2 linked regions of the Oryzias latipes genome follow. The protein of the gene in region 1 interacts with the protein of each later gene in a biochemical or structural test. Links are inferred from orthologs where the notes say so. Each region holds a gene or a part of one and is shown on either strand. Other genes may lie near its edges.

What was found.
Region 2: the proteins of nek2 (region 1) and ppp1cc interact in far-western blotting, tested with the Homo sapiens proteins (2 studies listed by BioGRID and IntAct). The link is inferred for Oryzias latipes from reciprocal best matches to the Homo sapiens genes NEK2 and PPP1CC.

The regions. Positions count from the first base shown.
Region 1 is NC_019882.2:6,332,322-6,336,243, forward strand, and holds the start of nek2 (serine/threonine-protein kinase Nek2), read left to right. Parts: upstream 1-952; 5' UTR 953-1,182; coding exon 1,183-1,278; intron 1,279-1,638; coding exon 1,639-1,856; intron 1,857-1,937; coding exon 1,938-2,178; intron 2,179-2,310; coding exon 2,311-2,393; intron 2,394-2,478; coding exon 2,479-2,605; intron 2,606-2,678; coding exon 2,679-2,913; intron 2,914-3,455; coding exon 3,456-3,510; intron 3,511-3,612; coding exon 3,613-3,680; intron 3,681-3,922. UniProt on the Homo sapiens protein: Protein kinase which is involved in the control of centrosome separation and bipolar spindle formation in mitotic cells and chromatin condensation in meiotic cells.
Region 2 is NC_019867.2:25,505,953-25,509,874, reverse strand, and holds the start of ppp1cc (serine/threonine-protein phosphatase PP1-gamma catalytic subunit), read left to right. Parts: upstream 1-1,208; 5' UTR 1,209-1,530; coding exon 1,531-1,585; intron 1,586-2,217; coding exon 2,218-2,349; intron 2,350-3,055; coding exon 3,056-3,286; intron 3,287-3,467; coding exon 3,468-3,572; intron 3,573-3,823; coding exon 3,824-3,922. UniProt on the Homo sapiens protein: Protein phosphatase that associates with over 200 regulatory proteins to form highly specific holoenzymes which dephosphorylate hundreds of biological targets.

The sequences.
Region 1 (3,922 bases):
AGCAGACAGAGTTGTGGGGATAATCTGACTTGTTATGCTGGCTGCCCCACTGAGAGGCTAGACCACTGTCCCAGACGCTGCATCCATCTCCAGTACGGATCACACGTTCACAAAAACCAGCTGTCGTGGTTAGGATTTGCTCCAGTCACGCTTCAATTTCACGGGCTGGAAATTACCAACATGCTACTTCCCACCTGTCAATCTGTCACAGCACCAGAAAAGGGATGAAAAGGTGCACAATGCTAGAGATGATCCAAAGCCGTTTGAATGTTTTCGCTCTGTGTTTCAGTCTGAAAAATACAATGTGACGCCAGCATTTTTTTCCTTAAACCGTCGTGCCAGAAGGCATCCTGCTGCAGTGAAGCAATGAAGTGAATTCAGAGCCATGGCAGATGTAGGAGCACTGTGAGAGGTCACTGTCTTTCACTGCCCTGCAGGTCAAATCAAGGGACCGATGACTGTAGGATCTGCTTCCCATCCATCTTAGAATGCATGCTTAGAAAATGCTGTTGGATGAGCCAGTGACCTTTAAGTACATTTACAAGCTACCGACAGGGTTAAATTTATTAAATTCAATCGAAGGATTGTTCTCATGTGACTAGTTATTTTAAATGCAAAAGAAAAAAGTGCACTTGGCTTTATTTGAAAAATCAATTTATATGTGGATAATACGAAAAAAGTGTTTTGTAGCAATATTGTTTCCCAAATTGTTCCCCACGTTCCCCAAATAAACGTTTTATTTGTATCTAGTATGTTCAATTATATGTCAACAAATCCGTAAATCTACTGCTTGTTTTTGGTGCCCTCTAGTGGACAGGGAATAAACATGCTTCTTCCCGCTCTAATCTCGCGGGTTTTCAGCTCTTAGCAACGTGAACAAATGCGTCCTTGTTTGACCAATCAGAGACCGTCGTGCCCGTGGGAACGAGCCAATTAGAGGTAAGAATTCTGGCACCGATTTAAACGGAGAAGCAGCACTTCCTGTGTTTTCAACTGATGCCAAAGAACACGAGTGTTTTGAGGAGATCGGCTTTGGACTTCTTTATTATCTGGATGAGCAAAAAACATAATTTAAGTAACTACTTGAATTAGATGTTCAACTTTTCTAAGGCCTATCTTTACATTTGACGCTAACGTGAAGTTTGGAAACTTTTAACGTTGGTTTCGGTTGACGAAGGCAAGATGCCGTCCTGTGTTGATGACTACGAAGTGCTGTACACGATAGGCTCGGGCTCCTATGGAAGATGCCAGAAAATAAAACGAAAGAGTGACGGGAAAGTGAGTATTTATGGCACAAGACACGCATACAGTATTTTCTTAAATAAAGATACATAAATACACGGTGTGAATGTTATCTAATTGATAAGTCATGAAAAAAAAAACAATGACTTGCTTCTCTGTAAATCAATAACGACACAAATGTACTTTAATATTTGGGAAATTACAGTTTTTCTGACATTAATTTCACAAGAAAAAATCTTTAAACATAATTCAGTATCAAGGAAATGTAGCATTTAAATGTTTTTTGTCATTTATCAGTAAAACATAATATTTTTTACTCAAACACTTGAACTTTAAGTTTGAAAAAAGGACTAAGATGAACATGTTCTTGATGGTTAAAGCATCTCTGCTCTCTAGATTCTTGTGTGGAAGGAGCTCGATTATGGCACCATGGCTGAGTGTGAGAAACAGATGCTGGTCTCAGAGGTCAACCTCTTGAGGGAACTCAAGCACCCAAACATTGTGAGGTACTACGACCGCATTATAGACCGCCGTAATACCATGCTGTACATCATCATGGAGTACTGTGAAGGTGGCGATCTGTCTTGTCTCATCAGCAAGTGTATCAAAGAGAGGTAAATAGAGCAAATGGGAAGAAAGAAAAAGCAGTCATCCTCTTTCTATCTGCATCATCATGTGTTGTTTTTAAATGGCAGGAAGTACTTGGAGGAGCAGTTTATCCTGCGAGTCATGGTGCAGCTTTCTCTGGCACTAAAGGAGTGTCACCGGCGGCGCGACGGCAGAGCCACCGTCCTTCATCGGGATCTAAAACCAGCCAACATCTTCCTCGATGCAAACCAGAACGTAAAACTCGGCGACTTCGGTTTAGCTCGGATTCTGAACCACGACACCAGCTTTGCAAAGACATTTGTTGGCACACCATACTACATGTCTCCAGTAAGTTATTTAACATTTTTGGCTTTTTTTAAATTATTTTTTCTCTAAAAAAAATCTCTAAAGGACATTTACAAGGTAAAAAAAATATTGTACTTGTTATTGATTAGTTTTTTACACTTTCTATTCATTCAGGAACAAATAAATAGGATGTCATACAATGAAAAGTCAGATATTTGGTCATTGGGATGTTTGCTGTATGAACTCTGCGCATTATCGTAAGTTTTTTTTTTTAAGCTTTTCCATCCGCTCCCTCGGCTGTTTGATCTAATGAATTCATGTTTGGATTTTTTCCTCTTTGAGGCCTCCATTCACTGCTTACAACCAGAAGGAGTTAGCAGAGAAGATCAGGGAAGGAAAGTTTAGAAGAATTCCTTTCCGTTATTCCGAGGAACTGAACTCTCTTATCAGCAGAATGCTCAACTTGAAGGTCTGAAATAAAGGATTGATTGTTTTCATCCTGCAATAGACGATCTGCTGAGCACCAGTCTGCTTTTTGACAGGATTACCTGAGGCCGTCTGTGGAGTCTATTCTTCAGAGCAGTCTGCTGAGTGTCGTGGTCGAGGATGAGCAGAGAAAGTCAGAAGTTCGACCCCGAAGGAAGTCGGCAGACTCCAGCAGCCCCCCGCAGAGGCTGAGTGAAGCGCCCCACGTCTCAGCGGTGGAGCTCAGGCGGAGGGAACAGGCTCTGCGGGACAGGGAGAAAGCACTGAAGGAGCGCGAGGAGAGGCTGGAGAGTAAGGCTTTAAGTTATTTCTGAGGCTAAATCAAGGGGAGAATATAGTTCTTTGGTTATTCTGAGTGCAGCGGCCTCCATTCAATGAGAAACCAGTCCTTTGGATTTGACTTATCAGAGTCTGAGATACTTTTCTGAAATTGTGAAACAACATTTGAGGCCTTGAACTGTTCCGCTGCCAAATTGCACAAGAACTAGAAAACATTTCTCTGTTCCCACGCATGGGTTCATCCCAAAGAAAGGGGTTTGGGGTGTCTTGCTCTCTTAATAATTATAAGCAGCCCTTTTCGAAGCAATCTTTGATTAATACATTTATTCACAAATGCTTCAATCTGGTAGATTTTATATTTGCTGTACTTGTTTCTGATGTTCCTTATAAAACGCTTGAGGAGTCGGAACGTGATTATCCATCCTCTCAACCAAAGTGTTGCCATCACATCTGTCCACACACAAAAGTTTGAAATGCAAGGTGTTTTTTTCTAAACTTTGTTTTCAACAATAATCTCTCTTTTTGTACAAATAAATTGTGTTTTCTGTTGTCAGGAAGGGAGCAACAGCTGTGTGTTCGTGAACAGCTCACAAACGAAAGGCTTGCAAGGTAGTCTCTCTTTTTGTCTGTTGCATAATGTAACAACTGCTGGTTTTTGAATTATCGTGTAAAATCCTTGAGTCAATTCTTACTTTTTATGTTCTGTTTTAGAGCAGAGAGTTTACTGAGAAATTACAAGCTGCAGCAGCAGAAGGACCTGATCTTTCTCGAAGACATAGGTAGGGGAATCCAACAAAGACCTCTGGACTTACTGAACTTAGATACAGCTGGGCTATGAATTTATGAATGAATGAAATATTTATTGTGTTTATATCAAGTAAATAAAGTATCTTTTTTTTGTAATCTAACAATGAACTTTTATTCAATAAACAAGTTTTAAAGCCATTCTCAGCTCAAACCAAATTCTTGACAAAAGAAATCTGCCTGATTATTAAAAAGCGCTTTCAAGTCGTGTTAATCA
Region 2 (3,922 bases), on another chromosome or scaffold:
TGCCAAAAACCTTTAAATTGAAGCTTCCGAAGTCGCTGACTTTTGTTAACCATTAATTTTTTCCCCACATTATTCATGCTATTTCTAGCTTGCTAGATATTTTTTTGAATAGGCAAAGTACTTTTATAACAATATTTTCATATCTTCACAGTTATAAATTCAAATTATGCGGATCATATTTCAGAAAATGTATAAAGCCCTCAACTGACTTGCTGGTTATTTCTCGTAAAGGGAAGGACAGAGACCTCTAAAATGACAATGAATCCCAGTCAAGCATCTGTACTGATTATTTATATACTGATAAGATGCATCTTTTTCTAAAACAGCAAACCGAATACTATTGAATTTGAAAAGAGAAACTTACTCATAGTTATTAATTTATTGTATTTACTAAATACATTTTTTTATTTTGCTCCAAAATTATGAATCGACATAATACTTATATGTTTAGATTTGGATCACATAAGAGTCAGGGAATGAATCACAAAAACAAAACAAAAAATTGTAGGTTTTTTTTTTTTTTTTGGATGGCCTTTGATAAGCATGAGGCTTCAGCACAGTCTTTTTTTATTAATGTTGATTATTGTTTAAAGGAAAAAAAACAATTACCTTTAAAAGACCAAATAAACATAAAAAATTACATAACATTTTTATCTCTGATTTAAACTTTCCACATAAATATAGATAGTATTCGTGACACTAACTATCCATAAAAACAGTTGGTTCTGGTTTTATTATGAGATGCTAATAAAAGTAGAAAAATATTTCTTAAAGCATTTTGATATGTGTTGCTTTCACTTTATCAAAAATGAAACCAGAGCTGAAGAACAATCCCAGAAATTAGCTTGTTTAGTTCTTAAAATCAACATAGTCTATTTACTTTAGGGGGTAAAGAGGAAAAAAACTCCATCAACCTATAGTACAACAGCAAAGTAAAACAAGCCCTTTTATTATAAACATTCAAATGGAGTAAAAGAAAATGTATAAATGTGCAAATCATTACGTCAAACCTCAAATTACCATATTGTAGCAAAACATGTGATTTATTTTGCTGTCATAAACTGCTTTTTGAAACGAGTAAATGAAGTCTTGTTGGTTCTATACAGAATGGTGAAACATTATTTTGAGAAGTTGGCGCGCTCCTTCACGCTGCGTTCCCCGTTCCGTCCAGTAGGGGGCAGACGCAGCGCGGCAGCTATGTTCCGAAGGTGCGGCAGAGGAGATAACAGACGGGACACCATCACCAGCTAACAGCTAGAGCCCGTGACGTCCTCCTTCAAGTCCCGAACGCTCAACAAAACCCGCCGCCGGATGGGATTATTTTTAACGTCTGCGACGTGCAAATAACCTAATTAGGATTTAATATTATATATTCATCCCCCCCGCGCGTGCGTCCGACTAACATATCTGAGGTTGAACCGGAAAATCAGCCGAGCTAGCTAATTCTACGGTAACTAGCAGGCTAGCTTTCACAGGAGTTAGCGTAAAGATCTAGATTAGACAGAGACGACTTTAACGCAGGCGCTTGCAATGGCTGATGTTGACAAGCTCAACATAGATAGTATAATCCAACGGCTTTTAGAAGGTAAGGAAATTATCATTTTTTTGCTTTTATGGTTGTTTGTGCTACACATCTGACAAAAAAAAAACAACTAGCGTAGCGACGCCGGTTTTTTTTTACGCACTCGATAACACATAAAGATAAATACGTATTTTTTTATAATTAGCTGAATTCTGTTTTACAGAGATTGTTGGTGTTTCAAAAATGCACAAAAGCGCATTATAATCACCGTGTTGTAAAGCGTAAATGGTGTCTGTAACGCACAACCCCGGGATTGTAATGTTCAGGCTCTGCAGATGTTCTTATTTATAGTAGTCATTTAAGTGTCTGTTTCTATTTGTAAAAAGACCATCATATCATTTCATGTTGTTTTGGCTTAATGTTATCTCATTTCAGGTTTGGTGAAACTAAAGTACGACGTGTTTTTGTTATCACAAAAAAAAATCTGTGTATCATTTACCGTCAAAGACACAACACCCATAGATGCTGTAAAAGACCATAAAATGACTAAAAAGAGCATTTTGAATTCAGAGCTTGCTAAACATTAAGTGATTTTGTCACGGTCTTAATACAAACTGTGCAGGGCATTGCTGACCTGACAGGAACTGTACTTTTTTTTTTTTTTCCTGACTGTTGTTTGTGTTTTTTCCTTGCAGTCAGAGGAGCAAAGCCCGGCAAGAATGTGCAGCTGCAGGAGAACGAGATCCGTGGATTATGCCTCAAATCTAGGGAGATCTTTCTCAGTCAACCCATTCTCCTCGAGCTTGAGGCCCCTTTGAAGATTTGTGGTATTGTTTGTTTGTATTAGGCTTAATTGCTCACTCTGATGAAAGTTGTGTTAACATGTTCTTGTGGGCTTTTTCTAATGATGGAGGACATATGTTGACAAAATTAAGCTTAAAATGTGCATTTCTGAGTATTTCCTTATTGAAATAGTAGAAGCAGAAAGAAAAATGCAGTTGGAAAACGCTTGTAGCTGTGACGTAGGTGCTACCATCAGCAAGCAACAAGTTCCCCCGCTCTTTTAACGTATCCACTTGCAAATAACTAGATCTATGTTCGTCTTTGTTTTCTGTGTCTGAGCTAGTATTTGACTCTAAACTGTATGGTGGATAGCTGCAATATTGCTAGCCATTTTGTTATTTTATGTTGGGGTTGTGAGTGACTGTGAGCTAGCGGGAGAATGTGTAAACACATAGATAATGGGAAGTAGGGGTGGGCTAACTCTATACCAACAGTTCCACAATTCAGAAAGCATCCTCGGAATTGCCCACAACTCAAGAGGCAAATTTAGAATGAACTCCTGCGGAAACTATGTTCTAGAAAACAACACAGGTTGTTTGATTTTGGCTTTAAAAAAAGGCTTAATCATAATTTAAAAATACCACAGAACATTTTCCCAAACCGGAAAAGATGATTGGAGGGGTGCTTCTAATTAACAAAGGAATGAATGTGTGTTCATCAGTTTGGTTTCCTGTATTCTGTATCATTCAGGTGATATTCATGGGCAATACTACGACCTGCTCAGGCTGTTTGAGTATGGGGGCTTCCCTCCAGAGAGCAACTACCTGTTTCTGGGTGACTACGTGGACAGGGGGAAGCAGTCTCTGGAAACAATCTGTCTTCTGCTGGCCTACAAAATAAAATATCCAGAAAACTTTTTTCTGCTGAGGGGAAACCACGAGTGTGCTTCAATCAACAGAATATATGGCTTCTACGATGAGTGTGAGTGGTTTTATATTGACTTTAGAGAGGCTTTTGGACACGTGCACCTTGATGCACAGCTGAACCCTGATCTTTACACATAGTTGCTGTGGCTGATAAAGATGTTTATGGCCATTTAATTGCATGTTGGATTAGAAAACACCTTCTTACATAATCAAAGACATCTGTCGTCACTTTTTAGGTAAAAGGAGGTACAACATCAAACTCTGGAAGACTTTCACCGATTGCTTTAACTGCCTTCCTATCGCTGCAATTGTTGATGAGAAGATCTTTTGCTGTCATGGAGGTGGGTTTTTATGTTTTATTCATAGCAGCATGGTTACACCCTGCATGTTTGTAACAATATTTACACATAATGTCAACGTTCCCACTGTGGCAAAGTTGAATGTCGAAAGTAGCGCAGCATTGACGTCAGCATTTGTCATTGTGAAACGCTGCCTATGCAGTTTGTCAGCTACTTCTTGGACTCACTTGCATGTGATAGGACATGGTGTCAAATCCGCTGCTTTATGTGATTTGTTTTGTCATTAAATATAGGACTTTCACCCGACCTTCAGTCCATGGAGCAAATCAGGCGCATCATGCGCCCCACTGACGTGCCCGACCAGGGCCTGCTGTGCGATTTGCTTTGGTCTG